Astyanax mexicanus: one gene and its partners. The protein of the gene in region 3 interacts with the protein of the main gene of each other region in a pairwise test. Links are inferred from orthologs where the notes say so. Each region holds a gene or a part of one and is shown on either strand. Other genes may lie near its edges. The genes, in order: mitochondrial import inner membrane translocase subunit TIM44, nelfcd and araf.

Region 1 (3,755 bases), on a different chromosome or scaffold from region 3:
ACAAAAAAAATCATCCTTCAAGTACATCAACACATCAGGGTCACATGTAACATGGTCATCCTTCATTACTCAGCAAGATACTGAGCCAAAATACACTTCAGAGTCAGGAAAGAAGTCAACAACTCAATTGGCTTAGAGGTTAATGTAGTTTAACTGTATATTGGCAAGAATCTGGATACAATACTTACTACAATATAAAAGAAAGTAGAAAGTTACACTTCCATATATTGCAATATATGGAAATATACTGTGAAACTGTAAGCAACACAAAATATGACCCTTTATTCAGACTAGCAGGCAACAGAGCGACACATGGCCAGCCATTTTCTAAGCAACGACGCAATTTATAGATGTGATTTGTAGCCACAATTCAGCAGCAAGCAGCAATCGGCACTGTTACAGACCACCGAATCAAACCAATCAGACATGGAGGTCTGAGGTAACTAGCTTCTGCTACTGAAGTTTTGGTTTTCACCAGCACTTCATTCCTATCCTTAGCTGTGTGGTTCTGAACATGGACGTGTGGCAAACAACCATCATTTCTTCTTTTCTTGTTTAATTTTGATGCATATTTGCACATAAAGGGGGAAACCTGAAGAAAAATGAAGCAATAAAATATAGCAAAACATAAAATCACAATACCTTGCTACGTACTGATATTTTTGTATACCTCCAGCTCTGTAAATTTGATCACAGAAGCTAATTGAAATAGCTGCCAATGTTGGGCCATTGAGCAAGGCCCTTAGCCCTTTCTGCTCAATTCGTATAATTATACATTATATAAATAAAATATAAATAAACATACAAGTATGTACAGAACATCATGTAATGTATAATATTGTAAATAGTTATTAGGTCAGCTGATCATCAACATCATCTGAAGAGAGGTGGCGTACGTGTGACCGGTCATGATTTAAATTTTATACTAAATAAAGTCAATTACATCTGTAGAAATAATATTTAACTTATTTATTTCCCATATTATATTATTAAATAAACAAATATATTTCAATAAAATAGCTGCCAATGTTGGGCCACTGAGCAAGGCCCATAGCCCTCCCTGCTTAATGAGCACTGTTTAATGGCTAGTACTGAAGTCCTGAAAAGTACTTCTTTCTTCTAACAATTACAAAGGATATAAATAAAGTATTAATAAAAATACAAGTATTCACATTACGAACATTATGTTAGGTGAAATACTGCAAGTAGTAATTAAACAAAAAAAGTAAAATCGTGATGAGATGGTTTTATATATTAATAAACCACACACCAACATCAGTTCAAACCACCTTGATGTCTGAAAGAGAAGGTGATTTACCTGTACAGCCACTGACTGGCACCCCTGGACCCTGCCTGAACTTAACACAGGATTCCGACATGCTGCAGACAGGACTGTGCTTCTCCTGAGCAAGAGCTGCAAAACAGAAAAACACTAAATATTTCACATTTATTAAAAAGTACATTCAAACCACTCTCTTACATTTATTATTACTGTTTTATATTTTATTTTACATTGGTCTTGTCTTTAAGACCAAATCATTTCTAGGTCATCTAGCTATATACAAAACTTTAATAATGCCAGAGGGAAATTTGCATATCACAGTAAACCAAGAAACAGAAATGAGACTAAAATAAGAATGTAACAATATAATAGAACACTTAGATAGTCCACTGTAAACAGTATAGCAGGTAATATTTCCATTCAGTGAGGTGTAGAGTACCAGTCAAAAGTTTGGATACACCTCCTTATTTAATGTTTTTATTTCATTACACAGTAAAAAAAACAGTGTTTGTTCTCCACAATCTCCTGACCTAAACCTAAACCACAGTGTGAAGGAAGGAAAAGCACCAACTATCATTCAGCACCTCCAGAAAATCCTTCAAGATGCTGAGAAAACTATTCCAGGTGCCTCTCCCTCATGAAGACACTGAGATTAACAGGTAAATGTGCTACTTCTAAAGAATCTAAAGAATACAACATATTCTGGTTAAACCTTTTTTGTTTACATATTTATTCAACATGTCTTCCTGTATAGCTGTAATATAGTCTTCAATATTAAATTTACAATGTAAAAAATCATATAAAGAAGGAAAATATTGAATTAGAAGAGATGTATCCACACTTTTGACCTTGTTATGCACATGTAAAATGTGTAGAAACAGAGGAGTGCTGAAAGCAGTTGTGAAAAGTAGATAATAATAGGTAAAGTGGGCTTTTAAAGATTATTTAAATCAGACCATATCTAAACTCTTATCATATCATCGTGTCTTCTAGCACTGAATAGTGATTACTACAATATCCATGGTCTCACCTCCATTCATTGTCAATAAGAACTCCTGTCCCCAATCAGCCACAAGTCTATTGGAGACCCCATGAGGAGCTCCATGACTGAGTTTTAATAGTCACCTAGCACTCTTTTCCTAAGTATAATAACTAAACACTAAAGGCTATATCTCTATAGACATTTCGACAGAAAATACAAAAACGTGCAGTGAATGTTACACACACAGTAGCTCATGTATATGTAGTCAGTGTTGGCTAGAAATGAATGGATGGAAGCTGAAAGATCTGCAATGCGGATTAACAGAAAGCAGAAAAGAGACAGAAACACAGAGACCCGCCCCCTCCACGCGCTGCCAATATAACACAGCTGCGTGTTTATCTATCGCCGCTTTATTGCCGATATTTAGCCGCCAAATACCGCAGAAACAGCGCATATTAACAGTAACCTCACCCCAGAGCACCTGCACAAGGACGCCGCCATCTTTCACTCAGGTTGCGTCACACTGCGGGTCAGCTGATCACCGACGTCATCCGGGGGGAGGTGGCGTACGTGTAACAGGTCATGTTCATTAAATCATTAAATGTAATACTAAATAAATTTAAATACATCTCTAGAAATATTCTTTAACTTATTTGTTTTTCATATTATATTAATGACAATATATATATATATATATATATATATATATATATATATATATATATATTTTTTTTTTTTAACTTAGCATTTAAACTGTATGTTTTATTTTTTTTTTAAAATTAGTTTATTTTGTTAATAATACAATACAGAACAAAGAAAAATAAGAAAAACTATTTAATGTATATTGGATTATTTATTATTTTATTTATCTATTTTCTGAGTCTTGTTTTTAAGAGCATTGCAGAAAGTGCATTCTTAATAAAAGAGAAAAAAAATATATATATATATATATTTTCCTGGCTCTGTTCTATTAACAATATAAACAAAAATAAAAATAAAAAAATAAATCTGTATTTGAACTGCACGCAAACATTGGTGGTGCTTTTAAAAAAAACAATTAATAATTTATAAAATTATAAATAAATAAATAAATAAATACATCAATATTTTTTTTTTCTTGTTTCTGTTCTATAAGTTATGGAATAATAAAAAAGTAGAATAATTGGTTTAACCATGATATATTCATTATCTATATTTTTTCTATTTCACAAAACATTCCTAAGCAGTAAAAAAATATATATCATATTGTGGGGTGGTGTTTACTCTATTTTTCCAATGGATAGTGGGTGGGGCCAAGCTACTATCATAATACTTATGATTGGCTGTCACAATTTGACCATTGAAAGGGTTAATAAACTTAAATCAAATCTGCCATGCTGATTAATGCCACTAACTAACTGGCAGCTGCCACTTGCAGGCTTTTAGCTGCCTCTAGGCTTGTTGGTTTATAGTCAGTGGAACCTTCCAACCAAGTTGTGACATTAGAGTACT
Region 2 (3,755 bases), on a different chromosome or scaffold from region 3:
TAATGTAATAAGTTTCAGAAGGAGATTGTTTACCGGTTCAGATGTCTTTGTGACCCATTCTAAATTCCCCTTTAGCCTACAACAGTGTTAAAGCAGTACAAACCCATCTGAATGAGCCACTCAGCCAGCAGGTTGACAGTCTGTGCCACAGCAGAGTAATTCTCTGACAGGAGCTGGATGACATGTTCAGGTGAACCACCTGCCTGAAAATACCTGTGAAAACACAGTGGAATTAGATTCTCGTGCATATTCACAAACATATATATTTACACTGCCTGGCCAGAAAAAAAAGTCACACACTCTAACATTTTGTTGGACCGCCATGCTCCCTAAACCACTCTTTTACAATTTCAGCCCAATGAATCCTGTCATGTCATCTTAAAATATACCTGTGCCATCAGGGAAGAAAAAAAAAATTGATGGAATAACCTGGTCTATATTCAGTATAGTTCTCCTATTAGGCCCCAAAGCTGCTAGAAATAAATTATCAGACTTAATGCTAAATCTGTCTGACTTCTCAGTCACACCTGGTTCAGCAGCTAAAAACCTTGGAGTTATTATAGATTCAGATCTAGCATTCGATAAACACATATCTAATGTTACTAGAACAGCTTTTCTACACCTACGTAACATCGCCAAGCTAAGAAACACCCTATCACTGCGTGACGCAGAAAAATTAGTCCATGCCTTCATTACCTCAAGGCTAGATTACTGTAATGCGCTACTGTCTGGATGTTCTGGCAGTAAATTAAATAAACTTCAGCTAGTTCAAAATGCTGCAGCCAGGGTCCTTACTAAAACTAGAAAATTTGAGCATATTAGTCCAGTCCTGTCAGCACTGCATTGGCTTCCAGTCAAAGTCCGCATAGACTATAAAATTCTCCTGTTAACGTATAAAGCCCTACACGGGCTCGCTCCTGAGTATTTACGAGACCTCATCTCCTGTTATGAACCACCGCGATTACTTAGATCTCAGGGTGCTGGTTTATTAGTAGTTCCTAAAATTCAGAGGAGCTCTGCAGGAGGAAGAGCTTTCTCTTATAAAGCGCCTCAACTCTGGAATAATCTCCCCGAATATGTTCGGGACTCAGACACAGTCTCAATCTTTAAGTCTAGACTGAAAACTTACTTGTTTAGTTTAGCTTTTGGTAATTAATGTTTTTCCCTTTAGATAAGGCTGCAGATTCAGGGGTTCATGGACAGAGGGAATTGTGGTAAACTGAGATGCTGGTGCTGCTGTTCTCCCACTGCACACGGTCACTCAGGTTTGTGGACGGTGGAGTGGGTGGATGCCAGTGTTTCAGGGAGCCTCCATGTCTATGTTACCTTCTGGCTCTCTGCCTTTAGTTAGGCTGTTTTATTCAGTTCTGCCGGAGTCATTAGCCACACTCTGATAATGTTTTATATTCTCTGTTTTACATAAATTCAGTCAAAACTAATTCCATCTCTCTGCCTTCCTCCGAGTTACTGACTGCCCACCTGTCTGACCCGATACCGAGGGATGTTGGACCCTCAGGCTCTCATGTCCTCTGTCTGGCCAGACTGGAAGTTACTGAAGTCAGCTCTTCTCCATCCACCACCACAGATCAGCTGCTCATCATCCATCTTACTCTATAAGCCATTAGTGGAGCTGCTATACACCTGAATATATAAGACCTATGTGGATGTATGAAAGACTTTTTAAAATTAATTTAAAAGCCATTTGACCAGTGGTAGGATGGTCTCCCCTTTAATGTGAGTCTTGGTCCTCCCAAGGTTTATTCCTCCTCCTGCAGCTCTGAGGGAGTTTTTCCTTGCCTCCGCGCTCACTGGGGGTTCTGTATTATGTATTTTCTATGTTTAATGTTTTGCCTGATTCTTTGTCCTGTAATCATGTTTCTGTAAAGCTGCTTTGTGCCAACACCAGTTGTAAAAAGCGCTATAGAAATAAATTTGATTTGATTTGATATATATTTAGGTAGTCAACATACTGTTGCTGAACCTTGACCTGACCAACTGCAGCATCAACCCCACATCATTTACTCACTTACTTAAATCCAAGACTTTATGACCTGGCAGTGTATATATGGGCTCTGGGTGATTAAACAGAACACGTTTCTAAAGTACTTACGTTTTTAATGTGTTAAAGACTGTAGGCTCCATGATATAGTCTCTGCTGGAGAACTTCTGGAGGCAGTCCTCCTGGATCTTCCCATTTGCTTCTGCATCCATTACATATCCGTCCTTATTAACCAACACACAGAACACACACTTAGAAATTTTAGAGGCTGTAATGTCCTGTACTGTGAGTAATTTTCTAAAATAAACGCTTTATAAATGATCGCTAGGTAAATGTAAACAGCAAAACGCTGCATTTAAAGAAAAAACTTATTGTTGATCAGACTTGAACTGCTGCTGCACTGTTATTTAAGGTAAATTCAGCCTGGCACAGTTTCCCACCACGTTTCCGTCCCACTCTCCCGAACCGCTGTAATACTCCTCATCCATCTCCGCTGATCCTAGATTGAGTCCGCTTTATAATAACGATCTGTTTACAAAATGAACAAGAACCAGCTCTAGCACTGCGGCCGCATTAACTACACACACACACACACACACACACACACACACACACACACACACACACACTGCCGCCTGCTGCTCTGGAGGGGCAGAAAGGTCCGGACGAAAATAATACTAGATCTTGTGTTTTAGGATTATAATAACTGCTAAGGATAGTTGTTACTTACTTAATAAAATAATCCGTAAATTAAATGTAATATATATATATATGCGTTTTAAAGGTGATCTGGCTCCAGGCAGGGCTGCTTATTGTTCAGTAAACAGATGACTGACGCGAAGATGAACCAATAAGGAGGGACCGGATGTGGAGACGCTATTTCCTCTGGTAGCAGGCCTGCAGTTCGTCCTTGGTTGTCGTTGAGTTAAGGTTCCTCTCTCCGCGGATCCGCAGCAGAAGCAGAGTAAAGATGGTCGCGTACTGGAGGCAGGCTGGACTCAGGTACCGGCGGGGTTTAGTAGCTGAGCTGTGCGGATCTCGTGATGGTTATTAAAGTGTGTGTGTGTTGGTGTTGTGAAAAATACGCTGGTCTGTTAGCTTTAGCCTCAATGCTAGCTGTCTGAGTGACCCTGAGAGACGCATATGTTTCTCCTCCGTGTTTGTGAATATCCGCTTTTCTTTCCCTTCAGCTACATCAGGTACTCCGCTGTCTGCGCCCGGGTGGTCCGGGCGGCTCTGAAGCCGCAGTTCAGAGTAGAGGCTGTGAAAAATGCAGAATCCAGCGTTCGAGTTAATAAAGTGAAAACCGCGTAAAAATGTAAGTGTTTATCAGATTTTGTTGATTTATATTTAAACTATAACTATTTTTGGTGTGTTTCTACTAATATTCCTGCAAAGCAACGTTATTCATTCTAAAAAATAAACCCAGCAGGGTGTCTGTTCTGTCCGGGACGGTCTGCCTTTGACTGCCTTTTTTGCATACCTGAGCAGCCAGATTGCTGCTAATGGCACTGAGCTGCTGCGAACATGTAGATAAATATCTGAATGACTGTCTTTATCTGTTCATTCAGTGGTGAGACAGATCTAAAGAGAGCTGGCATGCTGAAAGAGCGCAACTCAGCCATCCTCATTAAAATCACCAGATTCATTGACTCTAAAAGGAGTCTACCACAGTGCACCTTTTAAAAATACTTTTTATCATGCTACGTGCACGCGCTTACAGACTGTTTAGCAGACCATCTCATCACTGCGAAAT
Region 3 (3,755 bases):
CTGCTGCTACTGCCTGTATAATGCAACCAGGAACAGGAATTTCAAGTTCTAACGCTGACACAGACTTTCACTGATGCAAGACATACTTGGCAACCCCACAAAAGCTACATGAGCCGTAAGATGAGCTAAATGTTGACTCAGCACTTGTTACTTAACTGTACTTATATATCCACTTCGAACTCAAAACATGACTACAGTATTTTAGTTACACTTTAGTTACACATCGCTTATATAGCTTTGGAACAAATTGAGCGTGAGACCAATTAATTTTCTAAATCGGTTTCTCTGATTTTGTTATTTATTGGTATATATAACCTTTCTCCCAAATTCCAAATACAAATATTGCCATTTAGAGCATTTTTTTCAGTTTTCAGACCTCAAATAATGCAAAAAAAATAATGCAATAAAGTTTATATTCATAAAGTTCTAAGAGTTCAGAAATCAATATTTGGTGGAATAACCCTGTTTTTTAATCACAGTTTTTGTTCATGTATCTTGGCATCATGTTCTCCTCCACCAGTCTTACACACTGCTTTTGGATAACTTTATGACACTCATGGTGCAAAAATTCTTGGTTGGATGGCATCCATCTTCCTTTTGATTATATTCCAGATGTTTTCAATTTGGTAAAATCAAAGAAAATCGTTTTTAAGTTGCCTCTTATTTTTGTCTAATGCTGTATATAAATCTTATATTAATTATATACTGACAGACAGACTAAAGGGCAGGGATTAAGCCAAGTCATAGACTAAATTTTCTTTTCAATGGAAAATATCCATTTAAATATATCCATCCATGACTAGGCTTAATCCCTGTCTGGGAAACTGAATCACTCTTCTGTCCAATCACAGCTTCATATCCTCTCCCAGCACCTGACTACTCCATTCGCTAGGACCGCACCAGGCACCTGACTCGTGCACTGCTCACCTTAACCTCAGCTGAACCTGTGCAGGAAAGCTAAGGAAAGGTGTGGAAACCCCTGATCAAAGCTCTCCAGCCTCTCACAAACACCTGATAAGCTACAGAAAGCTCCACCTGCTGGTAGGATAATCCACAGGAGCCCTGAGAGAAAACCAAACTCAGATCAGGACAGGTTACTTCTTCACACCTTTTTAATTAATACCACTCAGAGACAAAATTTAAAACACCTTTTTAAAATAAGAACACTGATATTAAAGCAGAAGTCCATGTTATTTAGTTTCTAAACTGAAAGCAGAAGCATTTCTGAGTGGAGAAGAATGTGGATAAAATATTGCGTTTAATTGTACCATTGTGCTGGAGCAAACATCCCTGCTAAGCCTAATAATATATTCAGTCTAAAAACTGGGGTGTCGGGTTGCTTTTTACAGTTCTTCTGGCCACGTCACGCGTCTTTACGTACTTATGTCACACGTACAGCCTCTAAAAGAGGATCCGGCTCAGTTTTACGCTTTTACAGCTGAAAGCGAGTGACTGGTGGAGCAGTGGAGACTTCAGAAGAGGAAACTCAGAGCTCAGTAGTTTATTTACTCATGGTAAAACCAAAGAAACGAAGGAGTGAAATTTCTCACTGAGCGCTTTCTTTCTCTCTCTCTCTCTCTCTCTCTCTCTCTCTCTCTCTCTCTCTCACTCTCTTACTAAACATAACCTGGAATCGGATTCATCTGCTCTGGACCGCATCACACCCACCAAGTTTAAAATGATTCTTACACATGCTCTGTGCAATAACCTATTCTCATCAGAGTGAGGCCTAAATCCCTAAAAAATAAACTTTTTAGCCATTTTTTAGATATACAGACAGACAAACCAGACAGACAATAAGACAGGTATATAGAAAGACAGACAGATAGATAAGACAAGTACATAGATAGACAGACAGGTTTTTAAATGAACAGACAGCTAGACAGATAAGATACAGACAGACAGATGACTGACCGACATACCGACAAGACAGAGAGACAGATACATAGACAGGGACATAGAAAGACAGACAGACACATAGATAGACAGGCAGACAAGACAGATGCATAGACAGGTACATAGATAGACACACAAGGCAGACAGAAAGGTAAATTGACTACTGTAAGTACAAGGAGTAATATTTAATACATTTTAAGAATCTGCTGCTACAAGTGCATTTCTTATGAATGCCAGTATATTGTGATATCTCTCGGTATATCGGTAAAACGGTAAAATGTTATAGGTAAAAAGGTTACAGGTAAATATCGTGATACAACTGATATCTGAATAAATCACCCAGCCCTGCTGTGGAGCGGTAGCTACACTCACAGCTCTTTAGCCCGATAGCACAGGCAGGCCCGGGCCCGCAGCGGGGTCCGTGGGTGAGTCGGTTCCGCTGGTGGAGCCGGGCAGGACCGGCGGGGCTCGGGGTTCGGTCCGGGCGGGTACGGAGGAGCGGCAGCTCCGTGTCGGTGAGGCGGAAAGGGATTAGCTGTGTTTAGCCGCTAAGCTAACAGGCTAGCTGCTGTTAGCCGAGCTGCTCTTCTGCTTCAGAAAGTCCCGCTGCAGCCCGCCACCCGGGTCCCCCCGAACCGGCACCCGAACCGAGCCGAGCCGGCCGGCTATTGCTGCTCCCTGCCCCCGGCTCCCCCCCGGACCCGCGCTGTTTCCCCGCGGACTCTCCCTCACTCTGCTGCTGAAGTAAATACTCACCTGAGCCCGCCATCTTGAATTCTCTCAATCTGAAGTCGGATCAGAAGATTTCAGACGCGCAGCGGAGCGCTCTGATTGGCCCGGTTGCTGCAGATCTTCGCTCGGATTGGTCTCTTTTTAAAGCACGCGTCCCGGATTGGTGAAACGTGTTCCACACTGTGGAAGGAACGCCTACTCCTTGTGATCTGTTTGGTCTGTTTTTAGAAAACGCTACCCTGATTGGCTACACGATGAAAGGAACGCCCACCTGTTGAGATGTAATTGGTTTGTTGTTGAGAAATAGCGTCTCTCATTGGTCAAAAGAGTTTTACAGATCAAAGGATCGGTCAAATCCACAAAACTCTTACTGCTTACTTTACTTATAGACAGACAGACAGACAGACAGATAGATAGATAGATAGATAGATAGATAGACAGGAGTGTGCATACGTAAAAAAATAAAAATATATATTAAGAATTTGCAAGAAATAAAAAATATACTGCTGATGCACAATTATAATATGTGTGAGTAATAAGTGTTATCTATAGACTATGCAAGAGGAGTTGTAAAGATGTAAATGATATAAGATGTATATATGATATTAGATAGTAATATTAAATATAAAAATAAATAGATACATAAATAAAGAGTGTAATTTAAATTCAGATTTTAAACCACTATTTAATAAGATAGTTTAAAGGCAGTGTGTGCAGTAAGTGTGTAATTACAGTGTAGTTAGAACACTAGAGGGCAGCTCAGGCCCTCAGTATGTTGAGCTACAGGCTAAATGCACTGTTTGACCTCTGCAGTGCAGTGAGATACTGCTGAAGTGTTGTTTTAATCTGTCACTTGTTTCTTCAGCTGCTGTAAATTTTCTCTACAGGCCAAATAAAAGCATCCACCAGGTCTAGTCTATGGCCCAGTCCCATTTCTCCTTTATACCCCTGCCTCTTACTTTCAAGTGTCAAAATCCCACAAATTAAAACTTCTAATCACTTAATTTATTTGGTCTAATTTAAGTTCTGTGAAATGTGTTTTGTATGTTCTACTGCCAACCCTAAAATTTAGGACCAACTTAAAAAAGGAGCTATAAAATGTTTTGGATTTACATACATATACATAT

Evidence for each region.
Region 1: the proteins of araf (region 3) and mitochondrial import inner membrane translocase subunit TIM44 interact in binary tests that used the Homo sapiens proteins (3 or more experiments, as listed by UniProt). The link is inferred for Astyanax mexicanus from reciprocal best matches to the Homo sapiens genes ARAF and TIMM44.
Region 2: the proteins of araf (region 3) and nelfcd interact in binary tests that used the Homo sapiens proteins (3 or more experiments, as listed by UniProt). The link is inferred for Astyanax mexicanus from reciprocal best matches to the Homo sapiens genes ARAF and NELFCD.

Annotation. Positions count from the first base shown.
Region 1 is NC_064411.1:48,748,508-48,752,262, forward strand, and holds the start of mitochondrial import inner membrane translocase subunit TIM44, read right to left. Parts: upstream 2,811-3,755; 5' UTR 2,766-2,810; coding exon 2,736-2,765; intron 1,415-2,735; coding exon 1,319-1,414; intron 1-1,318. UniProt on the Homo sapiens protein: Essential component of the PAM complex, a complex required for the translocation of transit peptide-containing proteins from the inner membrane into the mitochondrial matrix in an ATP-dependent manner.
Region 2 is NC_064412.1:43,669,340-43,673,094, reverse strand, and holds the start of nelfcd (negative elongation factor C/D), read right to left. Parts: upstream 2,607-3,755; 5' UTR 2,488-2,606; coding exon 2,440-2,487; intron 2,224-2,439; coding exon 2,111-2,223; intron 214-2,110; coding exon 104-213; intron 1-103. Other genes in the region: atp5f1e (ATP synthase subunit epsilon, mitochondrial), read left to right, coding at 2,970-3,001, 3,190-3,313. UniProt on the Homo sapiens protein: Essential component of the NELF complex, a complex that negatively regulates the elongation of transcription by RNA polymerase II.
Region 3 is NC_064429.1:9,224,393-9,228,147, forward strand, and holds the start of araf (serine/threonine-protein kinase A-Raf), read right to left. Parts: upstream 2,733-3,755; 5' UTR 2,653-2,732; intron 2,512-2,652; exon of another isoform or gene 928-2,511; intron 1-927. UniProt on the Homo sapiens protein: Involved in the transduction of mitogenic signals from the cell membrane to the nucleus. May also regulate the TOR signaling cascade. Phosphorylates PFKFB2.